2 linked regions of the Oryza sativa Japonica Group genome follow. The protein of the gene in region 1 purifies or fractionates together with the protein of each later gene. This does not show direct contact. Links are inferred from orthologs where the notes say so. Each region holds a gene or a part of one and is shown on either strand. Other genes may lie near its edges. The genes, in order: flowering time control protein FY and probable cleavage and polyadenylation specificity factor subunit 1.

What was found.
Region 2: the proteins of flowering time control protein FY (region 1) and probable cleavage and polyadenylation specificity factor subunit 1 fractionate together in Arabidopsis thaliana (co-fractionation; 3 studies listed by BioGRID, with this or other methods). This does not show direct contact. The link is inferred for Oryza sativa Japonica Group from reciprocal best matches to the Arabidopsis thaliana genes FY and CPSF160.

What each region holds. Positions count from the first base shown.
Region 1 is NC_089035.1:42,523,354-42,538,254, reverse strand, and holds flowering time control protein FY, read left to right. Parts: upstream 1-5,567; 5' UTR 5,568-5,691; coding exon 5,692-5,911; intron 5,912-6,016; coding exon 6,017-6,108; intron 6,109-6,350; coding exon 6,351-6,419; intron 6,420-7,194; coding exon 7,195-7,299; intron 7,300-7,853; coding exon 7,854-7,949; intron 7,950-8,026; coding exon 8,027-8,109; intron 8,110-8,231; coding exon 8,232-8,303; intron 8,304-8,389; coding exon 8,390-8,487; intron 8,488-8,612; coding exon 8,613-8,672; intron 8,673-8,741; coding exon 8,742-8,802; intron 8,803-8,893; coding exon 8,894-8,981; intron 8,982-9,535; coding exon 9,536-9,599; intron 9,600-9,838; coding exon 9,839-9,917; intron 9,918-10,209; coding exon 10,210-10,299; intron 10,300-10,544; coding exon 10,545-10,633; intron 10,634-10,855; coding exon 10,856-11,301; intron 11,302-11,422; coding exon 11,423-11,689; intron 11,690-11,814; coding exon 11,815-11,889; 3' UTR 11,890-12,371; downstream 12,372-14,901. Other genes in the region: probable ADP-ribosylation factor GTPase-activating protein AGD11, read right to left, coding at 206-487, 588-683, 769-891, 973-1,150, 1,285-1,448, 2,218-2,293, 2,676-2,769, 3,186-3,256 and 1 more; CSC1-like protein At3g54510, read right to left, coding at 12,565-12,714, 12,837-13,055, 13,361-13,633, 13,715-13,994, 14,100-14,398, 14,543-14,728, 14,822-14,901.
Region 2 is NC_089038.1:10,089,442-10,105,690, forward strand, and holds part of probable cleavage and polyadenylation specificity factor subunit 1, read right to left. Parts: intron 14,217-16,249; coding exon 14,076-14,216; intron 13,577-14,075; coding exon 13,451-13,576; intron 12,100-13,450; coding exon 12,022-12,099; intron 11,291-12,021; coding exon 11,171-11,290; intron 9,655-11,170; coding exon 9,560-9,654; intron 8,492-9,559; coding exon 8,298-8,491; intron 7,758-8,297; coding exon 6,985-7,757; intron 6,853-6,984; coding exon 6,772-6,852; intron 6,693-6,771; coding exon 6,627-6,692; intron 5,570-6,626; coding exon 5,492-5,569; intron 4,849-5,491; coding exon 4,618-4,848; intron 4,252-4,617; coding exon 4,123-4,251; intron 4,031-4,122; coding exon 3,857-4,030; intron 1-3,856. UniProt on the Arabidopsis thaliana protein: CPSF plays a key role in pre-mRNA 3'-end formation, recognizing the AAUAAA signal sequence and interacting with poly(A)polymerase and other factors to bring about cleavage and poly(A) addition.

The sequences.
Region 1 (14,901 bases):
AACTTTAATAGACAAATCGCCTCACATCATGTACTCCTTCCTAACTTCTACAGATACATCTGATGCATGGAAACCTTGAACGCATGGTTGAGTTCTAATTTGCCACAGTAATTACACACAAAGCCCTAAGTGTTTGCAAAGAATTTGTTCGTGTAACCATGTTCTGAATTCAGAATGTCAGAGCAACCCATTTCTGCAGGCGCAGCTATTGCGTGAGCGGGACACACTCGAGCTCCATCTCAAGATGGCCACGCTCGACGTTCTGAAGCCTGACGGTCACCTCCTGCTTCACCTTGCCATCGATGATGGAGATAGCACTGTCCTTTTGGATCCAGATGCCTTCTTTTGCTAGCCATCTGTTGAGCTGTGCCGTATCAGCGACGACCGAGGTCTCATATGCCTTGGCTGCAGCAACCAGTGGCTGAATGTTAATCTCAGCCTCCCCCATTCGGTCGTCTGTAGTGAATGTGTCCTTGTCATAGACTTGCTGCCAAGGAGAACAGAATCAAACGCTAATCCAAAACAATTAAATAAAAAAAGACAGCTACTGATTATTTTCAATATCCCTCGAAAGATAAGATACTTACCAATTTAAGCATAGGTATGGGATCAGGTATTGATAGCAAAATCCTTTCATTCCATACAGGATTCAGGCTGCTCTTAATCACCTTTGTTTTCATCGACTAAAATGGTGTAAAAGGGATGTCAATGTCATGGAACTAAGAATTTTGGATAATTAAGATGCAACATTGGTATGAAGCCGTTTACCTGGTGTCCAAGGTTAAGGATAACATAAGGGTCGCTGGACATCATATCACGAACAGCTAGATTTGTGCCTCTTATGACATTGACCTTAATTAATCCAACAAATTCAACCATACCTATCTCCACCTAGGACAGCAAAATGTCAAACTCTAAGTACTGCAGGTAGATTCTAAATGGAACTGTGAATTTGAGACAATGTAGCCGTACTGTTTTCTTCACTGATTTACTCTCATGTTCTTTTCTCCTCCAACTGTTCCTGAAAGCATGGCCTAAACCATGCCTATTTGAACTGCTATGTTGTACGCGATTATGATTTTTTCCGCTCTTTTGTGAGTAGCAAGTAAGCTGTGTGTTGGACAAAAATTGTTGAAGCTCATATTTTCTCCTGCACAGATGCAGATAGAGGGGAAATATCATTTGTGAGACAGTCCTACTATAAATGAAATCTGCTATGTCAGGGTGTCACCCTACAAGTATAAGACATCAAAATAATGAGAAATTGGTAACCTAATTGCATACCTAACAAAGTCATTGCGCCCCTCTGATGAGCAATCTTGCCTTGGCTTCATGTAGTTTTCAGGTATAAACGCCTCGTATATCATGTTAACTGCAGCATTTCCACCTGAATCAGCTAAAATATCAACTTGTTCATCTGTCCACTCGTCTAGCTTTACTGAGACCACCTGAAATAGACAAATTTCTACTCCAATTACAGAAATGATATTCCATAGGCCATTAGTCTAACTTAGCTAAGAGTTTGACATCAAAATATACTATGTGGGATAGCTAAAATATTGAAAAATAAATGCTTGGGACTGTTAGCATTTGTATGTTTCTTCTTTAACAAGCCACTAATCTACAATGTTTTGTCGAAGACACTTACACCTGAAAAGGATTTCTAATATATGTTGTGTAGCTGTGTTTGTGCTTTTCTAGAATTAGACCAATGAAGCTGAACCTCAGAAAACTCTGTAGCCTACAAATGGTTGTTGAAACACATCATTTACTGTTAGATATTTCCCAAGCTTCTGCACAATTCTCCAGGATGAAAATGGCAACAATTACTAGGATGAGGACATAAGTTCCCTATATGTCACCAAGTTCTTCTCTCCACCATTTCTTTCCTAAAATATGTCCATGTAGAGATCGGAGGTGACTGGCAAAGCAAGTGAAAGGTTCAAGTGTTTTTCATCATACGCAGTGGATGGCCACATAAGTCACAGGACTGCACTATTTGAGTTACAGAAGGGGATACACTTAGTAATAGCAAACACGCAATGGACACGTCTAGAAAATCATCTAGAACCTAATTGTCCCGGAAGATCAGAATATGTTTCAGCGAAAACCTACAATGGCTGGAGTAGGAGAGCATCTTAAAAGAAATCAAATAAGAAGTAAACTCAAAAGTGGAAGAGCCATAATAAATTGCTATGGTACAGATATCATGGCTACCTTGGATATGTGCACCCCAAGACTTCTATGAGCTCCAGAGCACTTGATGCAAATAAACACACCAAAAGTCAATGACCTGCACACACCAGACGTACTAGTATTAGTATATAGCACTCTGGCTGAAATACCATGACAAAACGAAATGGTATCTCAACAGTGAATAAGATATACTTAATTTTGCTTCAACTAAATAAGTGGTCAGATAATTGTAATGCAAGAATTTTTTTTTTCACGACACACATGCAACAATTGTTACTACAATGTAAATTGCATTGACCTTTACATTTTTAAAATGTTCAGCTCGAATTCAGTTAAGTCAAGCAGGGAATACACACCATATATGAGCTAGAACAATTTCTTTTCAAAATCTTAAAAAATGATCTGCATACAGGCTACATCTATACACTGCAGATTTTGTTTCCTTAAAAAAAGCACTTACGGGATTCATGGATACTTACACCCATTTGGGATCTGGAGCACCACAGTCAGCACAAATTTTGTTTGCTGGTTGGTTTAAAAGATGCTCTAATCTCTCTGCTGTACCAACTGGACCTGGCACCAATCATGGATGAACATCGGTCATTATCACAAACAACAAATGGATAAGTAGCAACTTCATCTGGATTTCTATACAATACAAGGGGACATTTAGCTTCTTCTTCTCCCTCTTTCTTTTTGAAACAACTAGCTTCATCTGTCTAGAAACTTGCTAAGTGTTAATGGAGTGGCAGGAAGTATTTCATTCTGCTTGAAATTAATAACAGCAGCCAAGAAGAAGTTGAATGCTAAAGTAGACTTCACACTTTACAATTAATATTTATTTGTTCCTCCCTAACGGATGTTCATGTTGACGATTATATAAAAGGAAAAAAAAAGAAGCTATAGCAACTCTATAATTTCAATTGGAATGTAGGCAGCATCCAATTCCACATGCCAAGATTTCAAAGGGGACATCAAAAGGGAGAAACCTTGGGGATTGCCTCCTTGCTGATTGCCGTGGTCATTCGCATCGATCCTCGATGCCATTCCACAAATTCTCCTGCACACATGCAAAGGGGGTGGGGATAACATCAGACACCGAATTAGCTCAATCCGTATGAAATGCAAGAACCGAGCCAAATCAATCAAAAAGAACAAAAATTACCAAATCGCAATCGTCAGTCGCAGCATTGGGGCATGAAGAATGGGAGGGGGGGAGAGGGGGTGCTTACCTCGCGCTGCGCTGCGGCTTGGGGCTATCAACGAATTGGTGCACTGGTTTGTGCCCCTCCATGATCTTATTATCCTCCTCATAGACATCACATCCCCGCGATGGGAGGGGACGCGACGACAATGTGGGGATCCATCACCCCCCGCAAATAATTAAATCGGGGGGGATTTGGGATGCAGCTCAGATCGAGTGATTAAAGAAATGCGCGGCGGGAGGAAGAACAAGTCTTCGTGGGGGGCCGGCGATTTGCCGTCGAGGAGGAAATGGTTGATCCGTCGTTTTTGTTTAATGTTGAGCTGCGTATGAGCGAGCGAGTGGTTGGGTGGGGGTTAATAATAGGGAGCGGTGGCGGTTCGTTTTCCCGGTGAGCCTTCGCTGTCTTGTTCACTGCATGTAGCAGCAAAAATATTTCCTGAAACTAGTAAATGTTTCTGAAACTACAGAATGGACCTTGAAAATTCAAACGCATGTCTTTAAATATAAAATTTCATGCATGCGACGGCAATTCCTATGCAATTTGATAGATTGTCTAAGAAATCTTAAGCCTACCGTCGTTTATGAGATTCAAGTGGGCTTTAAAAAAAACAAAAACACACGCAATTTGTACACTTGATGACATGTAGACCGTTTATGGCAGACTTTATCTACTTAAACATTATATCTTTAGTATGACTAAGAGGAATTAGGATGAATATTTTATATGGTTCAGTTTTATTTGTCCCTTTTTTTCTAGTGATTTTCAAAATGACACTGTTTTACAGTGGGTGGTTTTTTTTCATTGTGGGAGAAGTGTGATTTAGGTTCTGTTTGTTTCGGTTTAAGATTATTATAATATAGATTATTGAGCCATATTACAATAAGTTGGATTATAATAAACCGACATAGAATAATCTGTTAGTTGTTTGTTTCTACTGGACTGTTGGATACTTTTGGTAAAAAAGATAGGGAAATTCTTGATTATTCAACACCGGATCGTTATTAGCTATTAGCCACCCAATAATTAAAGAAAGCACCTTTAGAGTGGATTACCATATTATAGTAATCTGGCTCATAGATTGTAATAATTATCATAATAAGTTATCTGTTTGTTTCGACTTATTTATAATAATCTAGAATATAATAATCCTAAACTGAATCAAACAAAGTCTTAAAGAGAAGGTCGACGACAACTTCATTTTTACGTTTTCAACAATAACTACAACATGGTACGTGGATATGCACGCACTTAGAAACTCATACAATAATATTAGATTATGTAAACAACTAGACATCGGTGCTAAAATTATCAAATTCAACTAGAAACCCACATGTACAATACCAGAACGAGTCTAGAGGATCTATGCCTAATGATCTTTTTTTATAGAATATATAGGAATATAAAAGCACAAAAAATCAATACACGTGCAAAAACACATATATTTAGGACGTGGGGGAAAATATAACGTGTTGTGTCTGACATAAAATTCGCCGGATATGGATTTTTTAGGCAGATATAAATCTTAATAAAACTATCACTATTGATTATGATAATTTGAAGTTATATAGCTTGATTTGCCTAGACTAGGTGAATGTTTAAATTCCCATGAAATATAGTAGAATCTCCTACGGAATCTAAAAATACAAAATTTCTCCCCTAAAAAGTAAAAACCCTTCATCCAAAGAAGCACTAGACCATTCGCATATTTGTTTAGAGAAAAACTACTTTGAGTTTGCTTTTATTTGGAGGAAGCAACAGGAGCTTTTTTTTTTTTTAGAAAGAGCGGATAATTTATTTATTACCATCCACATTTACATTCCTATTCATATTACAAGGAGGATTTGAGAACCAAAGATAACGCCCCTCCTGTAAAGTAGAAGCAAACTTAGCTAAGTTGTGAGCATCAAAATTACAAGCCCGATTTTCATGACGAAACTCTACTTTTGCAAAATGCTTCCTTTTTGCCTCAGTATCATTTAGGACTGCTAAATATTGGCACCTTGGTTTGGAAGCAACAGGAGCTAAATACACGAGAGGCCTCGCATGGGCTAAAAATCCTTGCCGTCAACGTGGATGGGCCGGCCTTGAAGGCCCATCTAAATGAGGCCAGAGTGGGCCTGTATGGCCCAAATACATCTCGCGAGGCAAGCGAGGCAGCACAGCACTCGACCACTCGCCTCACGGAGCTCACCCTCCCGCGGCGTCTCCTCGGCGGAAGAACCCCGAACCCCCGCGCCGCACGGATCCAAAACCCTAGCTCAGGTCGGCGGGGCTCGCGGCGGCGGAGATGATGCAGCAGCAGCAGCAGCCGCCGCCGCCGCCGCCTCCGCCGCAGCACCCGCCGCCGCCTCAGGCCGGGGGCGGCGGCGGCGGGGAGTTCTACCGGGGCCCGCCGCCGCAGCCGCCGATGCGGCAGCTCTCGGCGGCGTCCTCCACCAACATCCCCGGCGACTACGCCGCGCACCAGGGGCACCCCCCGCCGCAGCAGAACCAGCCGCCGTACGACGGTAACAGTGCCGCTCTTTTGGTAGTTTCGTCGCTGGCTAGGGTTAGGGGCACAGCAGCGGTATTGGTGCGCGTTCTTATGTTATCGTAATTTTGGCTCAATTCAGCTTATGGGGACAATTTCGGTGCTAAAAGGATGCGGAAGCCTGTCCAGCGGCGAACAGTGGACTACACAAGCACAGTCGTCCGTTATGTTCAAGTATAAATATAACAAACTTATTTCTCAAGCAGTTATAGTGATATATGTTTTGTTCTATTTTGTGGGAGCCTATTATACAGTTGAACTTTGCTTACTATATGCTCCTTTTACTGTGCCTGCTGCAAACATCACATGAATATGAAATGCTCATAAGTTGATTTTTCTGTGCAATAAGATCTAGCACCCTGTATTTTTCTTATTCTTCTGCTAGCACTGATCACCATTATGTATATGACATGCAGGCTCGCATGTGGCAGCGGGATGCTAGGGACAGGCCCACTGTGCAGCCGACTCCAGCTGCTGTTCTGGACGTATGTTACCTTACCCATTTGCCTTGCTTGTAACCAACATGTTAAAAGATAGTTGCCATACTGTTTTCTGTTTTTAGACTTTTATACTTCTGACGCTCACATTTCTTTTGTAATTTGGATTTCAACAAACCACTATGTACATTATATTGATGTCCTTTGCAATCTCATGATTGGGAAGATCTTGAATATTCTTGAGTCAAGGTTCTGGTTAAACGGAAATGTTATGCAGTAAAAATGATAGTCTTAGAAAAAGAAAACTATATTGTTGTATGAATGGATTGTTGTATGTGGATTAATCAAACTCCTGTTGCTATCTAGGGAGAGTGCCTATCAGATCCTGTCTTTGGTTGTTGTTTTTGGGCCATTTAGCTTGCTAATTAATGCATAAGTTTTCAGTTTTGCCACAACTATGTAAATCTGTCTGGATGTTATTTATGATATATATGTGAGATAAATCCTCCATGGTACAACGTAAAACTGAGGGTGCTCAATGGATTAAGCTGACAAAATTAGATCTTTAACTCTTCAGTCTTCAGGCAATATTTTACGTAGAACATACTTATGTCTCATTCCTTTTAATTAGCTGAGTGCTGCTATTTTGGTTAAGGGTTTTGGATTGATTACTGGGTAGTGCTGTCATCTTGGACAAAAGATGATTAAGTTTGATGAATTAATTGTTCAGTTTGGATGATTATGAAATTGTCTGTATCTACTGTATTTTGAATACATTGTCTGGTATCTGGATATCCTGATTAATGTGGGTTTTTTTTTTCAGATGTTGCCGTCTGTTGCATACCCCGATAATCCCTCAACAAGTTTTGCTGCAAAATTTGTACATTCATCAATAAACAAGAACCGATGCTCTATTAATCGGGTCTTGGTGAGTTCTATGATATCCATCTCTATGCTTTCCTAGTATCCCAACTGCTATTTTTATATTTTTCAAAGAGCTCCACTAAGCCTTGGCTAGTGCATGGTCACTGAAGGACAGCGATACCTTCAGAATGCTGAAAACTATAGAATCGATCTAACTTCTAGGTGTTCACCACCATTCACCTTATTGCTGAGCTTCCTTTTCTTCTGAAATCTAATTTTATATTTATCTGTAGGCAGCTACTCTTACCATTTTAAATCAAATATATTTGATGGTATATTATATTTTTACTTGTTTTCTACATTTTTTATGGTAGAATTAAGGATTGATGGCAGTACAACTTTAAAATGTCACTTGATAGGCTCACACACTGTTTGAAAAATGTTCCAATTTTTTTACACCAGCTAGTGCAGAGGGTTGATAACTCCATTCCAAGTATCTTTATATTGGTGTAATCTAACTGAATTCGTATATTGTGTACCACGTTGATATTATTAGGCTAAATATGATTTCTCCTTTTGTCATTTATGTGTCTAATGTATCGTTATTTGTTGATAAAGTGGACTCCCACAGGGCGTCGGCTTATTACGGGATCACAGAGTGGTGAATTCACCCTATGGAATGGCCAATCTTTTAATTTTGAAATGATCCTTCAGGTATTCTATAATTTTGCTCCAGATTTTCTAGTAATGTGTCATTGAGTTTGCTGATTTTTGGAGGAATTTGATAATAGGCTCATGACCAAGCTGTAAGATCAATGATTTGGAGTAACAATGAGAACTGGATGGTCACTGGTGATGATGGTGGTGCAATCAAGTATGTTGGCCTTTTGAATTTTTATCACTGTCAGTCTGTCACCCTGTTGGATACTGATCCTTAAGTTAACATGTTGATCTTTTCACTGACATGTCAAGTGCACGTTTTGACTTCCTTTGTAGGTATTGGCAAAGTAACATGAACAATGTTAAAGTTAATAAAACAGCTCACAGAGAATCAGTTCGTGACTTGAGGTGATGGCAGCCCCATGTGCTTTTTTCTTTACTTTACCTATACCAAGTTAATGTTCATTCTCTGTTACAATGCATCTTTTAAACAGCTTTTGTAGAACAGACCTGAAGTTTTGCTCCTGTTCTGATGACACTACTGTGAAGGTTTGGGACTTTGCAAGATGCCAGGAAGAAAGATCCTTAACTGGTAATGTTGTTGTACTTTTCTATGAGCCCGAACTACTTGATCCTCGCATGCATGAAGTTATTGCATGATATCTTATATTATTTTTACCCATCAAGTAACCTGAATTTGCCTTCATACTCAGCCAGGCCATGGTTGGGATGTTAAGAGTGTCGATTGGCACCCTACAAAATCTTTACTGGTTTCAGGTCAGTTATTATGCTTGCTAGTTTAATGAGCTTATTTGTGTAGAGCTAATTCTATTTTTTGTTATTTAGGTGGTAAAGACTATCTCGTGAAACTTTGGGATGCAAAAAGTGGTAGAGAGCTACGTTCATTGTATGTATTGTTTCATCGTTCGTATTACTTTGCTAATGTTGAAAGTCAGCAACACATCAGCACATGATGACCTGATGAGCTATATCTGCAGCCATGGTCATAAAAACATTGTACAATGTGTAAAGTGGAATCAGAATGGGAACTGGGTGTTGACTGCCTCCAAGGATCAGATTATTAAGGTCAATATTTTTTGCTTGTGTACCCTGTTCTGTTCATCCATTCTTTCTGCAAAGTGTTCTGTTTACACTGCTTAGTTTTCTCATCTATTTGACATGCTTGTGCTAGTGAGGTATACCATGGGAATGGGGGGGTTCATACTCAATGTTGATGCAAAATTTTAATGTCCCTAGGACGCATCATCAGAAAAAAAAAAACAGCTATTCAGCATGACTACTTCCTCCGTTTCACTTTATAGACGTTTTGGGTTTTAAATAGATTCATGCATGTCCAAATTCTTACAGCTAGTGAATCTAGACAAGAGATGGAGAGGCCAAAACGTCTTAAATGTGAAACAGAGGGAGTAATAATCAATTATTGAAACAAAGTTTTATTTGGTGGTTGAAACTATTGTCTAGAGAAGAATTACTGCTTTCTCCATAATTAAGTGAATTCAATATAATATTTTCTGTTTTCTTAATAAGACATTATAAGTTCCGTTTGTTTCATATCTACTAAATAAAACACACTATATTGGATAGTTTCTAACTTGCTATTGCTAATGTGTTTTATGCAGCTATATGATATTAGATCCATGAAAGAGCTTGAATCCTTCCGTGGACACAACAAGGATGTGACTGGTTAGATTCTCACTACATAATTTGAATTTTAGGTTCCCTTCCTGGAGTTTAAGATTTGATACATTTTTCATTTTTCAATCAAACAGCAGTTGTAATTTATTTGTTTCATTGCAAATCATGCATTATGGATATCAAACTACTGACTGAAATGTTGCATGGGAAATTGTCATATCCGCCACTCCCTTATTTGCCATGGTTGTTTTGAATAGATAATATACTCAATTTATTTATTTATGCAGCTTTGGCATGGCATCCATTTCATGAAGAATATTTTGTTAGCGGGAGCTATGATGGAGCGATCTTTCATTGGTTGGTTGGGTAAGACATCAGAAATGCAATTAAAATAAAAAAATTCTAGTTGGCATGGTAGTTTCTTTTCCCATTGGAACTTGGGTTTTTGTTTAACTGTGATATTGTAGTGTTAGACCACTCTGGCTTGTGTTTACGATTACTTAAGTTTACTGTGTGCTTAACCTGTCTGATGAATATATTTAGCTTTCAAGTTTCTTCTTGAACTTTTCACTTGTTACATTCTTTTAGAGGAAATACATTTTTTTGTTGGCTACAAATGACTCAATCTGACTAAATTAAAATTTCAATTGATTGGCAGCCATGAAACTCCACAGATAGAGATAAATAACGCACATGACAATAGTGTGTGGGACCTTGCCTGGCATCCTGTTGGTTATCTACTTTGCAGGTACTGCCAGAGTTACAGATACAAAATTCTGAATTTGCAGTTTAGATTTATGCTCGTCTTTTTCTTGAGTTATTTTTATTCTTCTAACCTATAATTGCAGATATGGATATGGAAACATAATTATGTTTACTTATTCCTTATTTCTGCATCTCAATGATTCTAACTGCTATTTCTGTTTCTCCTTTTATCTCATTATGCTGTGCAATGCGTCAGATTTCACTGATACAATTGTCACTTCCGTTCAGTGGGGGCAATGATCATGCTACGCGATTTTGGTGTAGAAATAGGCCTGGTGATCTTACCCGCGATAAATACAACAGCGGACAGATGCAAGGTAGCTTTTCCTTTTGTTGAGCTTCTTTCTTGGTTTATTCAACTTCTTGTTCTATTCATATTACAAAATACCACGAGTCACCACATGCCTTTGATGGATGATTAGTTAGACAATTTGATGGACATCACTTGTTCACTTACTGCACATGTCTCGGTGTTTTTTTTTATTTGGGACCAGACAAGAAATGTTTGATACATATAATAAACTGCTATTATGTTTCAGGTTACGGTGACCAACATCCTGCTTTTGCTGGCCGTGCTATGGGTGGATTCCAGATGCCTGAACCTTCAACAACACCTGGACCATTTAATACTGGATTATCACGAAATGAAGGCACAATTCCTGGCATTGGGGTCGCAATGCCTCTTGATGGATCTGATCATGGAGAGCAGAGGCCATCGATACCTGGCCTTCCACCTGGGCAACCTCCCTTGCCTCCAGGTCCCCATCCATCTCTTCTAGCCGGTGGGCAGCAACAGCAATATCAACAGATGCAGCAGCAGCATCCTCAATTTCCTCGACCACCACCTCCAAATATGCCTCAATTGCAGCCCCCAGCACACATGCTTCCACACGCGCAAGGATCTCGAGCACCACTTCCTCAGCTTCCATCAATGTCAGGTCCACCACCAGTGAATCCACCACTACCACCTATGCCTCACCCAATGGTAATTTAGTATTACCTAAACGTTCTGTTCTCTGCAAGATCTTTTGTTGCAAGTAAAGAAACGTGCTAACAACTGCTAGATTGACAGCTGATATATTGATTTTGATATTTCCACTTTGCAGGCAATGCAAGTACAAGGTTCATCAAACCAGATGATGCCTCAAATGCCACAGCACTTGATTGGCATGAATCAGACACACCAGGGCCCTCCTAGTAATATGCCTCCAATGGGTGGCTTTCCAAATGGAATGGGAAATATTCAAGGTGGATCTAGTGCTTCTGGCATGCAAAACTTTCCTATGGGAGGCATGTACAACAGGCCTCAGGGAAAAATGCCTCCACAAGCACAAGCACAGATGACATCCATCCCTGGTCTGAGCTCATATCAGGTAAAACCAGAACATTACATTTCAATGAGTTTGTTGGACCTTAAGGTGATTTTGTTATATATTTATGTTGCTCACATGCTGAGAATTATTTAGTGACGTTGCTGCTTGTTGGTCAATCTTCGCAGCCGGGTATGGGCAATGTGGGCCTTCCGCCGCCACCCCCACAGCATCCACCGCCTCGCGGTTCAGCGCCGCAATGATCTCTTGTAACTGTGCAATGATGATTGGAAGCCTTCTATTTTCCATGCGGTAAAACATATGTAGTATGATCGTATTCGAGGAAGAGAGGAGTCTCCAGCAAACGGAGACGGATATCTTGGATAATGATAGTTAGGATTGTTCTTATCTCTTGCACCGTCGGCTAGGATACATTTTGCTGCCCTTGGACTGAACGGGCTGTGCTGTAACAAACCTGTCCACCTAACAGCTTGTTTCTGCTCCCTATTTATGCTGCTCGTGTTGTATTAGTTCTTATGCTACTGAGGTTTTCAACATAGACGGAGGCTATCAAGCAGTTTTGTAACAAGTGAGAATCATTTTGCCTGGCCCAGTGAATTTGATTGGTTGACGGCGTACGCTCTATATTGTAAACACTTACACTGTTGTCAGGCAATGCTTGTCCGTGGGTTCATTTGTTAGATCCACTGATCACTTATAAGAGGAAAATTGTTTGAATTTGTAATTTTCACCGAGTAAACTGAGCCAAAGCGTGGTAATTACATGTAAAACGACTCCTTGAGCACATAAAAAGCATATGCCATTGTTATATGCGAGCTTATATCTGCCAACAGCCAAACTTCACACGAAAATTTGCCTGGTTCTTATTATGTAACAGGACTAAAACCAATACCAAGCTAGCGGTGTCACCAACACTACTATACAGAACGGATCAAAGGTTGTACCGAACTACAATCTGGAGAGAAGTTCGTCGGGCGCATCCATGGTGGCTTATAGGCGCTAATGGCATGGTCCAGGTCACCTCTCATCCCCTCAGCTTCATTAAGGTCGTCATTCTCCTTGGCAACCTTCCACGAAAATCCAAAAAGAAATAGCAAAGATTAATACGTGCTTCGCGAAAGAATGTGACACCGCTAACAAGGAAACAACTACATAAAAGGGAATTATAAAATTAATGCGATGAATGTACCTGAACCGGTCGATGAAGGAAAGTTGGAAGAAACCGAACCTTGCAGTACTCATTGAACAAAATGGTTGACACAAGCAAGGGAACCGTGGCGAATGAAGCCCCCGGTTTCGACTTCAGCATTGTAATTTGCATGAGTGTGACCGAAAGGAAGATGTAGCGATGAATATTGGGCCAATATTGTCCACAAGTATCATATGTAATCTCATATACATCTTCCATCTGTTAAAAAGATAGCAAACAAATAATCACTACATAAAATAGAAGGACCAAGGTTGGATGGCATAAAAATGGCTAGACTGAACCATATCCATCCAAGCAATCTGCTGGAGGTCACGTGTAGAAAATTTCTGTATTTTTTAAAATCTATGTAATGCTGCTTTGCAAGTAATGCAAAATTGAATAACTTTAATATGAAGCTTATTTTTAATTTATTAAGAAAAAAGTATTGCCAGCTTAAATCAACTTGAAGTCGCTAAAGAGAAACGCAAATATGAAAAGCAGCAAGTATTATGAATTAAATTTACCTGGTTGATGTACACTGCGTAACCAAGCAAAAAGTAGATAACAAGAATTGGAAGTAGAAGAGGCGCAACAACAGCATAGACCAACCCAATCAATACTGCAAGGGAAACGATGGGCACAACTCTGTAGTAAGGGAAGCCATAAAGATATGGCTGCTCACTATGTCCAATTGAATGTGCCTTGAAGAAATGCCATGTAAGCAAACCAAACTGAAGAACCTCCAAGGAAAACCCTGACATGCCGTCGGTCAAAATGTATGTGATGAAGAAATCTGACTGCAAAGCAAGCAAATGGATAAATTGAATGGCTGCTGTGGAACATAGATACAGTACAACCTTTTTTTTTCTTTGCTTTACCTGTGCAGAAACAGCACGGGCCAGACGGCTAGGTATGTCTTTTGGATGTGTAAAGGATTCTCCTATCTGGTGGAGTAGAGAACCAGAAAGAATGCTCAAAAAGAAAACATTCCCTAACAAGAAGTAAAATACCATGTTGCAGGCCTTGATTTCCTTCTGACTTTTTGCAATGCATCCCTCAAATGATGCCATGCCAAGCATCGCGAAGGGAATCAAGTAGATAAAGCCATTCAAGATCATGCTTGGAAGATACCCAGTTACGACAGAATTCAAACCTGGTCTGCAAGATGACAAAAGTATCATATAAATCAATGTTGTTATACCACGGTACTACATGCTAACATTGCCTACTGCATCACAATATATTAAAGTTTTGGCCACTAACATAAGTTCCACAGCTCTAGCCGGTGGAAACCATATTTTAATTTTCTCAAATTGTACTATCCCTTGCACAGCTGTGACAGGGATGGTGAAGAACACTATTAGCAGAAACGCAGCAATGAAGACACCAAGTTTGTATATAGCAATACGGCAGAAAGGAATAGCCAGATTTGTCCATAGTGCATCAGGTGGTTCAGGAGCATATGTTGTCACCAAGGACAGAGGATTGACATGCTGTTGCATTTCGGCAGCTTGGGCAGCATCCAGCTGTGATTTGAATGAGACAAAAGCAACCGGTAATTCCTGGAGTTGAAAGCAAAATTAGTATGTGATACAAATAATTCTCAATATAAATAGGTGCCTTCATTCTCTCTGTTTCGCAACACCAACATTGAAGATACTATTGGCACAAGCAAGTGGATTGGAGAATACATGAGAATGCAATACCTTCCGTTTAAGCATATTTTCACACTGTAGGAGGCGGATAGAGTGATGGACGTTCTTCAGTTTTTCTTCCAGTTTGCGAGTATCTATCGCTTCTAATGTCAACTTAAACCAGATCCACTTCCAAAAGTTACATCTTCTGGTTTCTCTTTTCCTCTTTATCTTGTCCTCAAGGGAGGATGCCAACTTCTGTAATGATGCAAAGGCACATTAATAGTGTAGTAATAGTCACTTAAGTATGGCACAGATTACAACTTCTACCTCAATGTATTAATTACTCACCTGAAGTGCCTTGATGTTTCCAATGTCGTGTACTATGTGATACGATTGGTATGTTCGGTAGTGCTTTGAGAAGAAGTGGT
Region 2 (16,249 bases), on another chromosome or scaffold:
TCTCCTTGCATGACAAAGAAGTTTGGGTAAATGTTTTAAGACTTTTTTCTTTTTTAATATTTTTAAAAACGTAAAATCTATAACGAGAGGCCTCTCGATCTGGTCTTACACAGCGACGACTGGCGCGGCCATCCGATTTAGTCGAGAAGCATCAGAGTTTACAATTTGAGAGAAGCATCGGAGTGTTAGGCATCCATGTCTTTTTTCCCTTCTTATAAAATTCTCTCAAATTACTTATCTGATCTACAATCCAATTACACCATTGTGTTCGTTGCAACTTGCAATTAAATCTTTACAATAAGATCTCACATGATTATATTACGATGAAAATTTACAAATTACTTTTATAATATATCTAAATTACTTTTAGATTTCACTAAATTACTTCTTAGACATATAAAAGTAAATTCAATAAAGTCTAAAAGTAATTTACATATATTATAGAAGTAACTTGAGACAAAAAGAAAGTAATTTTGTCATGACATTAGAAGTAAATCCGTTGTAGTGATAAAAACATAACTCTATCTAGAAACTAAATTAATCAGCACAAATTATGGAATTGACTAAAATAATAATAAAAGTAATCACCTCATAGCATTATGAATGTATAGGAAGTAATTTAATCAAATCTAAAAGTAATTTATATATATGATAAAAGTAACTTAGTATATAATAAAAGTAGTTTACAAACATAAATAATTTTTTCATCATAATATAATCATGTAAGATCTTGTTGTACAGATTTAATTGCAACGAGCACAATGGTGTAATCGGATCGTAGATCCGACAAATAATTTAAGAGAAAAATTTTATTTGGAATTTAGATGGGCAATGAGGATGCAAGTGGCAGGTGCTATTAAGAAGGGTAACGAGTTGATACCCACTGTACTATTTTGGTAAAAAAGATGGTCGCTGGTTAGCACTAACGAGTGCATGCGCTCCCTGTAGTCGCGTCCTTTTAAAAAGTTACTTTTGTGTGGTACATGAGTAATTGCTTAAACAAAAGATAATACTATAAAAATATTTTGTGTAACACATGGTAGATGATTTACATCAAAAACAGCAGCAAAAAAGTATTCTATGTACTCCCTCCGTTTCACAATGTAAGACTTTCTAGCATTGCCCACATATATGTAGATGTTAATGAATCTAAACACATACATATGTCTAGATTCATTAACATCTAAATGAATGTGAGCAATGCTAGAAAGTCTTACATTGTGAAACGGAGGAAGTAGCATATAACACATAAATTATATCTTATAAAATAATAGTAATGCAAAAATTTGAAACTTATAAACAAACTATTATGCTGCGTAACGAGGCTACACAAAACAACATCATTATTTTTTGAAATTTCGGATGGGATAAATCGATTGTTAATCTTATGTCTATAAAGGCATTTTTCTAAGAAATATTGTAGAACAATTGATATGCTCAGTGGTATGTTATAGAAAGAGGTAGTCAATGGCAAATTGTTGAACCAGGACAAACTCAATGGCATAGAATAGATTTTCTCTTAATTTAAATATGCAAAAGGTAGCATTGGAAATGCACCCACCAAGTACAAGAAATCTATACTACTTTAAATGTTAGTGGTGGTGGTGGTGGTTCTGCCACCAACCTTCTGACATGTGGGGACCACAGATCCATAGGAGGGGAACGGGAATCCTCGCCTACTCCCCCGTTCACCTCCTTGCCTTGGACATTGCCCATGGAACTCGCAACAGGAATTGTGCCGCCCATGCTTGGATCTGGCAGGGCGCCAGCTTCTGATGCCACTGTATTTGTACAGCAGTGCAGAGACTCACCACTGTTTGTCAATTTGGCGGGGCAGCACGGTAGCTGAGCGTGCTTCGCCAATGCTTGAATCCTTCCGCCATGGTCAATTCCACCACAACGCACCGCTTGTTGGCTGTTTTGTTGCTGCTGCTGCTCAAAGAGCACCATAGCGCTCAGGTTGAGCGGATCTGGTGGTCCCGGGCTCGGCGCTGCCGGTTCACTTGCTAGAGGGAGAGGAAGGGGACGGGAATAAATCGTACTAGGGGAAGGGGACAGAATTGCAGACGTGACCCTGCTAGATAGACTCGCCAAAGAAGGGACTGGAGGCAGGTGGTGCTGGAGAGGGCCAGGGGCTGGCGCCGATGGCGCTTGAGAATGGAGGAGATAGGAGTGGCAACGTTGGAGAAGGGAGGAAGCATGGCGTGGTCCAGCTCATAGAGGGAGGAGAGGACGCAACGAATGGTGCAAGCTGCAGGCCGCTGGCAGGTGTAAATGGGAGTTAAGGTTAGCAAGTTGTAAATGGGCCAGGCCTTTCCTGCTGGTGTACGAGAGTGTAGCCGGCCTGCCTGATATCACAGCAGTGCTGTATTGATAGAAATCAATTTATTAAGGACTGAATTGTCATAACTTATTATGCAATGTGCATATGTTTGTGTCTTTTTGCCCTCACAAGCAGAATTGTACTGACCTGTATTGCACCTAAATAACATGAATTCACATTAAATAGAGAAGATGATTAATTCAGCAGGCATCCAGAAAGTGAATGAAAAAAAGACTTGCGTCAGTTTTTCATCATGAAGCAACAGTGCTCTGTGCCCCTGCCTAGCTCAGCATGTATTTAGAAACTGATGGCAAAAATTGACTAAAACAGTTAAACAATTTTATGCTTTAAAATGTACTCCCTCCAGATAATAATAGCTAAATTTAGCTAAACTTTTAGAGTTTGGACTGAGGTAGTATGACAAAGGTTCTCTTTTTAAGATTCCATGGCAACATATGAGCAGATTAGCTAGTAATAAAAAAAATACATTATAGTCTATATTAACACTGGCTAGCACAGGTTTCTTGTTATGATCAAAGGGAACAGTTTTCAGGTTCCCAGAACTTGAGTTTGAGAGAAACCAAATGGTGCACACATTTGACGGATATTTTGGTTTGGTGTAGTACTATTGATGATGTCATTCCTGTGGTCGAGTATGCAGTTCCTACTCCTTTTAAAAAACAGTAAGAGGGATATCACTTCAACTCAAAAGTATGGTAACTACTTTATTTTTAACTCCACACTATGTTTTTACTATGCAAAAAACATTTAGCTAAATACACAAAAAAAAAATTCATCTGTAATATCAATTGTTAAAATATCAAAATATTACTTTAATCATTTTCTCCACATTTTTTTGGTTGTTTTACTGTTCTGGCTGGGGAAATATTTTCTGGTCAGGAAAACATGTCATTTTAAAAATCCAGTCAGAAAAATGTAACTTTAACCACTAATGTATAACCCCAATAAATTTTAATATTATGAAACTAATTTTCAAGACAAATACACACATGAATTTTATGTTCCCCAACTAGATATTATAGAAGATATTGATGATGACATGACGTACATCCAAAACAACTTTTCATGACCTGATGGAACACTATATAATTAATGTTATGTTTGTAACATGCAATAAGAACAGTTAGTGGCTGTGTCGTACATCTTTGTTATGAGAAAAGAAGTTGTAGTCAGTACAATGCATGAACACTGGAAAATCCAAAGTCCCAGCTGGCTCATAGGCATTAAGCTCCAATTATACTAACCTCCACAATAGAAGTCAGGGTTGGCTCAAAACTCCAAAGCTAAAACATCAGGTAAGGCCAGATTCAGGGAACCACTATTTACATAGCCTTGTGTATGAAGAAACAATTAATGCATTATTTCTTTCTATTTAATTGTTCCTATCAGCATTATGCATGGACTTTCGAGGAAAAATGATGCCTAGAGAACAGAAAACAGGAACTAAACCAAAAGTTACGTGCTCAAAACCTAAAAGCATATTAATTGAACCAAAAGCTATTCAATACTCACAATGTTCAGGCTCACAACATGCAAAGGGGCATCATAGAATGCAACAGCAGTCAATTCAGCACCAGTCCACTTGTTTAATGTGATCTTAGGACCAGAAGCTATCAGCAGATGACCTTGAAGAGACGCAACAGCTGATACAGCACCTTTACTCTCTTTTGAGTAGACTTCAGTGACCTGCAATTAGTGTTTACATGTTATCAAATCAATCGATACGTAACGGAAGTAATAACCTTTTTCCCAATTGCAATAATGCTCCCTCACAGTACCAGATTTTGAGAATTTTCACTTTTCGTGAAAGAGAACAGAAGCACACGTCCTCTAGCAGCTACATCCTCCCCAAGAACATAAGCAGTCCCAATGGCCAACAGGGTCTCATTTTCCTTGGTGGTTGTATTCTGAAGTAAAAATGCATAACTGTTCAGTGAATAATATAATTAAACCTACAGACATGTGTACCTTTGATCATTAAATTTTCAAACAAGATAAATCTCAAGCATAGAAATGACATGGCAACCATGCATTTGGAAGAAAAGAAGATAGAAAAAGGAAGTAATGATGACTTTATTATAGCTGACAGTTTATGCTAACAGCTCCATAATTGAATTATAAAGGGTCAAATATAGAGTATAGAGGGCATTTAGTTTGCAAAAATGTGCTTGTGGGTTGCTAAAATATGGTGTCTTCAACCAGACAGGTTCACTTGGTTTGTCACAGAAGTTCATATAGTTTGGTTTCAAGTGGGAATGAGAAAAGACGCATACATGTAATGTAACAATGCGCACGGTTAGAGCATTTTCAAACAATTGCATTGGAATTGTGGACTTCGTCTCCCAATGTCCACCAGGTTTCTCCAGCTCCAAAATGCGGACCTCAAATTCATCAACAGTATATGTCTTATGAAGGGCATCAGTGCTTGTAACATCGTTATCCATGTGATGAACTGATTCTTGATCAGCCATAGAAGAAAGAACTTGATTTAGGGGACGAACTACCTGCAGGACCAAAATGAGAATATTGTACTAGATAGTTGTACATAGGAAGAAGTCCAAATACCCTGAACTTTATAACTGGACATCCACCCCCCCCCCCCCCCCCCCGTCCCCAAAAAAAAAAAAAAAAAAAAAAAACTTTGCAATACCATTCGTATTACCCCCTAGGGTAGTTTGCACATTTGGAAGCTTAAATGAGCAGCTTTGAATAACTGATACAACATATTTACATATCATTAATAGTAGGTCATAAATTTCTTCTTACATAGTGATGTGACACTTTCACAATGTTGTTGCAGCGAATAAGGGAGTGAAAAAAAAGTTTTGCATGGAGATTTTTAACATATATATGTCTAATACGTATGTCATGTGATCAAACTCATCCAACATACATGCAAATTAGATGAAAAACCACTTTGCAAAATCACCTTAGGGGGTTGTATAAACTGTATTGTTTAGTTTGGGGGTTTGAACGTCCGGTTTTAAAGTTCAATATGCTAGATGGACTCTCAATCAAAGTTTAGGTGGCGGAGGGTGTTATTTGGACTTTATGTGTTGAACATATTCGAAAATGCCTCAAAAACATAATTAGATGCCAATGATAAATTATGTTAGAATTGCAGTAATAACATATACTAATACTTACAGGAACAGACACTATTAGGGGATAAAGAGATTGCTCTGCATAATACGTGACCTGATGTGGGGTGCCATGCAAAGGGACCTGCAAAGATGCAACATGGTCAGGTTTTCAAGGATGAGAAGGCTTCAGAGTAATTCAGTTTATTCCCTGAACTCTGGCTCATCCTGAACTACATAACCAGGTTCCTAACCCCCTAAACTTGCGGAATAAGAGCAGTTTGGATGGCCCAAGATTTTAGTTTCAAATTCCCTCCCTATACACGTGAATGGATTGGGATTGAGTCCCATCTAAGCAAGGACTGAGGTAATTCCTGAGGCGATTTTTCCCCCATGGCAATGGCATATTGGTGTTGCTCAGATTCACTTCAACATGATGGCATGGACCTGAATGGTTTTTAATTTGAACTGAACAAACAAATAAAGAAAGAAAGAAATGTCAATGTCAAAACTATTGTTGAACAGGGGCAAAGGGACAAGTTTTACCATGTCTTTAAGGAGATTTATCTAGTTAATTAAACCAAGTCAGAGTTGTGGAACAGGATACGTTTCCGAAGATACAAATAGCATACTAAATCTCGATGTCTCCTCCTGACAAACCACAACAATATCTATAGCCAAAGGTTGTAATAGTCAACAAGGACACACAAGGATGACTGGGTTGCAACACTCCTATTTTCAACAACAAGGGGTAGCAAGCATGAGTGGGGAACCAAGCATCAATAATGATAGGTTGAGGAGCAACCATCCGAACCTCAACCATATCCCACATGATTTTGTGATTCTCACAAAATTGAGTTGTTAAAATGCATAATTCTAATACCCCGCACACATGGTCCGCCTACTCCAACCTCCACATTATGAATTGCAAACAGTCACTCAATTATAGTGGCATCAGTGCAGCAGATGTTGATTCTGCAGCAGCACCATTTGAAGGATTGCAAGGTGTTCAAATAAGAAAGAACTTGTTAGCTCCAGAACTAGTTGTTTTGGCTTATATGAATGTGCATGTGATAGGCTTGTAAGAAGCAAGGTAGTGGGCACATTGGGTGCACATCTTGAGGGATTGTTTGCTACAAGTTTGGAATCTAGGGTAGAATGCTGACTGACCCATTTTTTGTTCAGGAGTTACAGTGAGGTACCTTTTGAACAGGCCAGTAGCTGTCATAGTTATATGCTGAGGGCAATTGGCATATCTTCAGAAAACCCTACAACCAAAAAAGAAGTGTATCCCTGAATCTCAAACTTTTAGTAAAACTATCTGACAACAATGCACAAACAACTAACCTGTGATGTAACATATATAAAGCCATGAGAACAATTTACATTATGCAGAACAGTAAAGGCTTCAATGGGACCGTCACATAACTGCAAAATAGTAAATGCTTCAGTTTGGTCATTTTAAAATGTCAAACTGGAATAAAAATCAAAAAATCAAGACAAGGAGCAAAAGTGGTCAAATGCAAGAACATTGAGAACTTGAGCATTGCATTTACATACCTGTGGGTGCACCCGCAATCGTTGTCGACAAACCATAACCCAAGCTGGCCTCGTGCCACTAAGAAATAATCCCTCATAGCCACCAACATTGTTAAAGGTTGTTATTCTTGGTCGTCCAAGAGTTGGTATGTCTTCTCGTGATGTTATATCTATAGAAACCCGGTGAAATCTGAGATTTCTGAGCCTGGAATCACTGGCATTGTGATGATCAGCAGAACCTTGAGGTGACAATGGAACCCTTTTCACATTGCTCTCCGAGGCTTCATAAGAGAAGGCATGGTAACACAACAATGTGCCATCATTCAATAGTCCAAAAAGGAAGGGTCTACTGAATTGACCAGACCATCTATGCATTGCAAGCTCAACTATCCGAATGCTATCTCCTGCTTCTTTCTTTAGGGAAGCTTTAGTGCAATCATATCTTTCTTTCGTGCTATCCTCATATATGAGCTGAGAAAATTTATCAACCAAAAGAGCCTCGCCAGAAATAAAATTTTCCACAGAGAAAACACATCGGAAACTAGGCACTTCAAAAATTTCCAGTTTACCGCTTTCATAGCAAATGATACAATATATATCAGATTGATCATGAGATGAAGTACCATTGCCATCAATTGCCTCCGCAATACCAGTAGATAACCATGCATCACTACGTGTCTTTGTCAGCCATGGTTCAGGACCTCTGTCACGATAAAGTGTACAGGCAGCGATTCGCTCACTTGAGCTAATAAATATACTGGGAGCATTCACAGAAAGAGTACAAGTACAATAATCTGCACGACGAAACAAAAAAGACATGTATTTAATTATTTCAGTAATTGGTGATGTGCAATTAAGATGACATATACAACTCGTCTAGCTGGCCATATCAAATTTACTTCCAAAAGCCTTTCCTAAACCTAATCCATCCAAATCTCACACAAGTTCATAGGCTAGAACTGAAATAAGAATCAGTCCCAATAGTTAAAACACAGTTCTATGCACCAGCTTAGTCCTAAACATACAAAGCACCAGATTGCTAACTTCTATCTTCATCTATCAGGAAATCATCACATGTCTGTGTCCTCTAAAGCCATATGAAAGCAAAATAGGTATTGCACTTCACCATCATATGCTTATTTGATCTCTACTTCCTCAAAAGGATTCTTTTTTTTTCTAGCATTACTTCCTCCAAACTACTTGACAATATGACAAATTGCATGCGATAAGTATATACTGGTGGACTAGAATTTTGAAGTTTGACCGAAGTTTGGACAAATAAAAAACAAATAACAACGAAAGCAATTCGTGTTTGACTAATGGATATGCATTACCTCCTATAAGAAGTTGAACAGATCCATCAACCATCTTCAAAAGAACATATGGATCTGCAATGGAAGCGCATGCCACACCGAGAGCCTCTGAACTAGATGATTCTGAAGCATGCGTAGTAAAGTTTAGCTCCTGTGTCATGAAAGAACCATCAAGCACACGAGCACCCTTACCATATACCTGTATGACACGCCGCCTGCAAAAAAAAACAGAAAAAAGACTCAACAATAATGAAATAATAGAAATTGCTAAATTTCCTGCATTATAACCTGAGTATCACATATCAGTTATATAGATACATAAGACAGTGATACACAATTTTCAAAATAAAAGGAGGGGCAAGATTTGAGTACATATATGTTAAAATATAATTGCAGCATGATATATGTTATGCCGCATACAAGAAGGCGCAGAAGATCCATTATGCCATCATAAGAAAAGGAAAAGGTAAAGGAGGAAAGAGATAGGGCACTTTTGCCCATTGTATCGACCAACAGGCATGTTATGCCCTTGCAGCCCAATCAACCCACCAGCACAGCAATAGAGGCTGCTTGACCTAACCCCTCTTTCATGTGCATGAAGCACCACGACCACCTCTCTTCTTCCTCTTGATTTTCACTTTAGGATACTCATCAAACTCCAGCTTCAACTGTCCATCCAGTGTGACATCCCCTCATTACTGCCCAGAATCAGCTTCATCCCCTGCTGTTCACAGGCATGACGCAAAGACATCGCGAAAAGCAGCGAGGAGAGGATTCCCTTGCTATGGAAGAAGCAGGACAGGAATGTGTATTGAAAAACGTATCACACAATGTATTAGTGAATTACCACTAATTGTTCTCATTATTTTCGAAATTTAACCAACACTTTGGCAATACACTGTATTGCTGGCTTGCTGCATCATTATGTATGTATCACATACAGGTAAGGCAGTTGGCTGGCGTACCAGTGAACCTTTAGATTTTTAACATCTTCAAATCTTCATTCATGTTTTATGAAAGCCGTCAGATGATGTGAAATGTAGGAAAACAAATTATGGAAGAGCACTAAACATACACATTCATTAGACGCACACATGAGAAGAGATAGTTGGAGTAATGTCATGACAAATTAGACATACCCTGAAACCCAGGTTGCTCAATCCACATGAGATAGTTGTCATAACTATAAGACATATGCAAAATCTATCTGTTCCACAGCAGATAATGCCAAACTACTATTTACATAATTGATATAAATTACAGAAATATTAGCAGTTGTATACCTCCCAAACAAGTTGCCAGCAGCAATGGTGCTTGCTTGAACAAAGTAATCAACAGTTTCTGTAACCTCTCCTAAGTCATCACCTGTCTCAAGTACCTTTCACAACACAATTATCAAATGGTTAGCCATCATTCCATCAAAAGTAAAGGGGAGGATCGATTCCAATCATAAGTTAAATAGCAAAACCATGTGTCAGCTGAATAAAATATTCAGAACATTGAAAAACACACCACATGGCATGACATGGTTTAGGAACACTCGCACAAACAAATAAAAAGAAGTGAAAGAAACAACATACACATAATGCAGGTCAAACCAGTACAGATATTGCTTGGGACAGGGAATAAATAGGTTTGCTTTTAATACTGATATTCACATTGCATGCAACCATTTTGGTGTAAAATTATTAAAAAAACCTTGCATACAGGTATACACCCATTTTCCGATCCATTTGGAAGGTAATGTTCACATGAAGCAACAATTGTGTTTCAAGAAGCTGAGAAATAAGTTTCCTAGAAGAGACAACAAACCGGACCATAGTTAACCACTCAGCACTTAATCAACTATTCCTGTGTCATGATTTTGTTCCAAAACCAACTCCACATAAAGCGAAAACATATACAGTACAAATCTGAACCATTATTTTATGGGGGAATGTTGTGGGAAATATTAGCTGAAAAGCATCAATTTAGTAAAATCATGAGAACCACTCCACAAACTATGTAGGGGAGATAAACAGGCAAAAATAGTACCAAGAAAAAATATATTTGGCCGTTCACTACTCTTTGCCTGATTATCCTCACTACTATTTGACATCACCTTCCCTACACCCCAACCTATTTCTCATCTCTAGCAGCCAGTAGACAGACTGCCTGGCAATCCTTTTGATCCCTGCCCATAACAGTATCCTCAATTATTATAACAGTTGGGGCATTAGAAATTTCCAAAGTTTCTAAAATAACTCTGTGTGGAACACGTTAAGTCACATGTACTTCCAGAAAACTTGCAATCGTATGGAATGACATTTAGCCATTTAGGACATGAGATAGAAATAGGAGGCTGAAAGCATATATTTTGGTCCCATTTATCCTTTTTATGTCCTCCCACATATAGCAATCTATACTCCTTATAAAAGGTAGTAGTGGTGATGTTCTTCTGCCACCAACCCCACCACCAACTCCCAATTTTCTTTTAGAGGAAAAATGGCATGTGGGGCTAGAGGACCCACATGTCAACCACTTCCACCAACTCTCTACTTTTTATAGGAAGGAAAAAGGATAGTGTGGGACTAAAGGGTCCACATGTCAATAACAAATATATACAGCAATTAAGAGATGGTAATAACAGGTTAATGATAATTTCCTTTAATTAATTAAAATCCAGTTGCAACGCATGGGCAATATGCTAGTATTCATTAAATTGTTTAGGATTTCTTGGATCATCTTATTATTGTTTAATTGTCATATACCATACCTAAAAAGGAACCAATGCAGGTTTCCTGGGACAACATTATAAGCATATCAGTTCACCACAACCAATGAGAGTACGCATCACCATACCCATGGGAAGGAGCATACATCAAACAGTAAAACAAAAAAAAAAAAGGTTTTACCATTGTCCGATTCTCCAGACTTATTATCAGATATGCATGATATTCATTATCTTCTGCCATTTGTCCACGGTAACTCTTATAGTAAACTGTCCAAATACCTCTGCAACTTGGTAATTCCACCTACAGAAGTTAAGAACAATGTAACTGAGTAAAAATAAAAGTATTCCACGAAGTACCTAAAAGTAATGACAAAATAAATGCATACTTGGTGTTGACCAATAGATGCAAAAGATGGACTGCTTTGTTGGAGATTTTCAAAAGGCATCAATGGCATTTTCAGTTTGGTTGAGCCATCAAGATATGATCCAGTGACAACAACCTTCTATTTCATGTGTGGTTACTATTTTACATGGGCCATAAAGTTTACTTAATTATGAACAGCCCACGCAAAACTAGCACCATATAAACAAACAAAATGTAAAATACAACAGCAAATCTTTCATATTAGACTCAGGATAACTGGTTTCACAGCAATATTGCTGACAACACGAGACTCAGCATACAACAGCAAATCTTTCACAGCAAAAACCACCATGTGTTCCATACTAAATCATGTTTCACCACCAGCATTAATATGTTAAGTGAAACATTTATTGCCCCAGCCTTACTAATATACTGAATGGCCCAATCTGATCCATCCCATGCTTAAAGTAGAAACGGTAATTATGACCCAAATGATCTGCATGCATCATGGAACTAATGTGTGCTCATCAGCTATTGTAAAGCCAACAAAATCAAAGATCTCGGATGAACGAGCAAGCTAATAATAAAACAAACTGATAAAGAATTTGCAACTTCCCAAAAAGATTGCAAGTACTCAAAATACCAATGGTAAATGAAAAAATATTTACCTCAGTAATTAAATCAGGACGGATAGATTGTTGAAGGACAGAAAGTGAACCATTTTTACCATGACCAGAACAGCACACCTGAAATAAGCTTATATTGTTTAGAAAAATGAGTAGCCCAAATCAAGGATAAATTACATACAGCAGTACTTAATTAAAGGAAAAAATGGTAATAATATGCCACAATCAAGGTTTACAGTTTAGAAATATGCCATTCGCATGCCTCATCCTTCCCTACTGCTGCACCTTACTCCCATGATCTCCACAGATCCAACAGATGCTATCTTGATGGTGCACTGCTGCTACCAATGGGTTCCAACATTGCTGCGGAAAGCAATGAAAAGACAAATGATGGGGTGGTGCATTGTGGATTGCAACGTTCAGATGTGAGAAGGCAGTGCCAATGCTCATCAATGTTTACAATGCTGACACTAGCACTGGTGAACCTTGCGGAGGCTATGTCAATGTCAAGTGTGCTGTTGGGTTGCGCTAGTGCCTAGGAGGCCTGCGTTGGAGAAACTAAGAAAAGTAGGTCAGTGGAAGGACAATGATGCTGGCTGGACCTGGTATCAAAAGAGATAACTCCACGGATTTTTCTAGAGCTTATCAGCAGCCAAGGACGCCATGACTGCTCGTTACTCATTCAGTTGGCACCCGCCTTCTCTGGAACACCACTAGTTGGTCAATGGCAGCCATGGAGTGGGTGGAGATGGGAAAGGACGAAAGAATAATGGGGTTAAATCAGTCCATTTGCCTCCATATTGCAATGGCATATTCCCAATCCACAATTCTCAGCAACATTTTTGTAAACTGCATGCTTTGAAGTGGAATATATATATACTATCCTTTATTAAATCAGGATAAATAGATTATTGCATTCCTTTAATTGTTGCACTGAATTGACAGATATGTGAAAGGTGATAAAAAAAGTAAAATGTTAAGATCGAATATCGTCAACATAATAATTAGCACATATTCATGCAGATTATTCAATAGCATACATTATGGACCATTGATGTTAACACCTCAATTGATTACAGATGGCACATTGTTCCTAATTATGTTTATTCAGTCATGTACTATGTATAAATATAAACTCATCAGAGTTCCAGTTAGCAATTTACCCATTCTGGTAAACATTCAGTTTATTGTCTTAATCTTTTCATTATCTTGTATTTAATTCCTTGACTTGAGAACAACTAATCTTCAAAACCTAGCTAGTACTAATATCAGAAACTTTTGGAATTTTCAACAACCAGCTGTAACCTGCTGCTTACAGGTAGGATTTGAAACCTTGGTTTGCCATACTAAAGATAAAAAAAACAAACCACATATGCACATCCAACAATAGTAGCTAAATCAACCATAGAACTGATTGACAAAGACCCAACAGTAATAAAAGATCAAAAGTAAAGATTGCCATGCCACTGACCAACTCGTAATTGCTTTGCTTCGCATTTCCCATTGCATTGGGATCTGCATTGGCTCTTAAACCATATGAAAAATCTTTCAGTGGACCAACATTGATCAATGCATCTCTCACAATGTATGATATCTTCTGCAAAGAAAAAGCCAGTGAATTATATAGTCAGAATATAATGAGAAGCAACTGTGATATTTTTTAAGAGAATAAGTAATATAGTTCGTGATTGGAAATGGTAGCCAAAAAGAAATAGTAAACAACTATATACAAGATGAAGACCCTTTGTTAATTGAAAAAGATAATGGAATTGTGCATTGTACAGGAAGGATAAACGTCACTGTATAATCAATCCACATAACCAATAAATGAGTAAGATTGTGCGCTTTTCTTCTTTTATCTCAACTTTCTTATATTAGCAAATATTGACTAACCAAGTTTGAAGGATTATGTTTGGCACAACCTTTTCTCCGCTAGTAGGTCCCACATATCAAAATTGGGGACACTGGTGATGAGGTGGTGGCAGATTCACCACCACCACTTGCTCTTTTTAAAGGAGTACAGATAATTAGAACATATGATTCTGGAACCACAGGTAGCTAGCATACAGTTGAAACCCTGAAAGTAATACTCAGACCTGTGCTGATTCTAAACTGTTTGGTGCAATGATATTCTGAAAGGAAAGTTCCTCAACACTGGTCACATCTTGTAGAACATCAGAAGGAATCCTCTTTAGGCGCTTGGAGAAAGGCAGATCACCTTCAATATCAGCAGAGCGCTACAAAAGTAGATTGCTATATCATTAGTCACCAATGCTTTCAAGGGACAGCCATAGCTCACCTTATACGTGGTATTTTTCAAAGGCTCAACGCTACATGCAACAAAAATAACCATCCATGTTATGTACATATTTTACTATTATTCTATAGCGATACTAGTATTAATTAAAAGTATAATTTAATATTGTGTAGAAGTACATTTTATGGTTAATTAACTAAATGTATCTTTAGATGCTTTAACAAAAATATACAATGGTGTGAGGTGTGTAGGGGGGAAGGGGGGCATCTCATAACAAATCTTATGTGCCACTAATATACACACGGTGTCAGGTCAGCATAAAGACGTAATGTTTCGAACCAGGGGGTAAAGCAGATGTATTTGAGAGTTTAAGATCGTAAAATGTCTTAACTCGAAGGTTCAGGGTTGATTTCTGGACTTCTGTCAAAAGTCTAGCCTTGAAAATGAACCTTATATTCATTGAATGCCCTAAATGATGATACCATCGAACAAGCATAGAGAGGTGGTAGTAGCAGAGGAAGAGAAGAAAAGGCAGTGGATGGAAGATGAATTTGCCAAGGCTTGTACTCCTTCCGTTCCCAATTGATCATCATATTACAGGAGTGCACCCAAACCAATAAAAGCTAATAACTATCATGTACTACATTTAATCTAGTAACAAACTCTGATGCATGCACCATCCCCACTATTTCCTAGCCAATAACAAACCAAGACATTGCATGTTGGTTGTAAAGGGTTGTGTGCATGGACGCATGCATCAATGTACATTTACTCCTATGCACACATAACAAATAGACCTTGGAATAAATACTACTAATATGATGATCATTTGGGAATGGAGGAAATAACCTTTAATGATCTCTAACGAGTGGCCAGTTCTTTTTTTTTCTCAAATACGCAAGAGCTGTGTATCATTGCATAAATAGAAGAAGAAAGGTGTCCAAACACGCAAAAAAAACAGAAAAAAGTACAAGAACTCACGCCACCACAAAAACAAGCCACCACAAGGCAGTAAAATGACCCTGGTTGCCAGTTCTCAAGTATCACGTTGGTCTAAAAAATCCTAAAAACCAACCCAATAACCATTTCTACTGATCTGCCAACAGAAAAACTATATGGCAAGTTGAGAAACATAAGAGGCATAGTTGTTAAACCTGGACCGGCCATCAAACCAGTGAGCCCATCAGTTCACAGTTCATTGGCAGGACCGTTGGTTAAATAACATTTTTTTACTTTTTGTTGTTTTGGTTGACTCCAAGGAAAAAAATCGAGTGCTTCTCCTTGTGAAATCAACAATGTGGCTTGCTCAGTTGGTTTACTAGGTACATGGGCAAGCCAGTGATCACGGGATCGATCCCTCCTCCCACGCATGGAGTTTGATTTTTCTTGAAAAAAGTATAGCCGGCCAGAGACTGCTCCAGGTTTTTAGCCAGTTTTATACAAAACTGGGCAGTATAACCAGTTTCTACCGATTCATGTGCATCCCCAGTCTTTTAATCAAATCAGATCACACCTCAGTCCGGTCCGGTTTTAATAACTATGATAAGAGGCATTTGGAACATAAAATTGAGGTGCCAATAGAATGACTTGACAGTGAGTGCCATAGATGTGGCATCATCTGTTTGACAGGAGGATCAATAATGCAAGCTGCAAACAATGGTGTAAACAATCGGACACTAGCAGATGGATCACCGGGCACCGGCACAAAGTAGCAGCACCCATATGGTTATGCTGCCATGGTCATGCTTCAACACCATGAGAAGAATTAGAACTAATATTGCATTCAAGCTCAGTTCAAAAAAATCATTGCATTCAAGCCCAATGGTGAATTATTGGGTTCAAATTTTCAAAACCACAAGTACAGAAATATTGCATCTCTAGTTACATGTTTTCTATAATGACAGTAAAAAAGAACTCATTTCAGGTGTTGTTCCAAAAATATAGGTATCCGACATGTAGTGAAATGTTTTACTTCAAAGATAAAAAGTAAATCAACACAGATATCTCAGTACA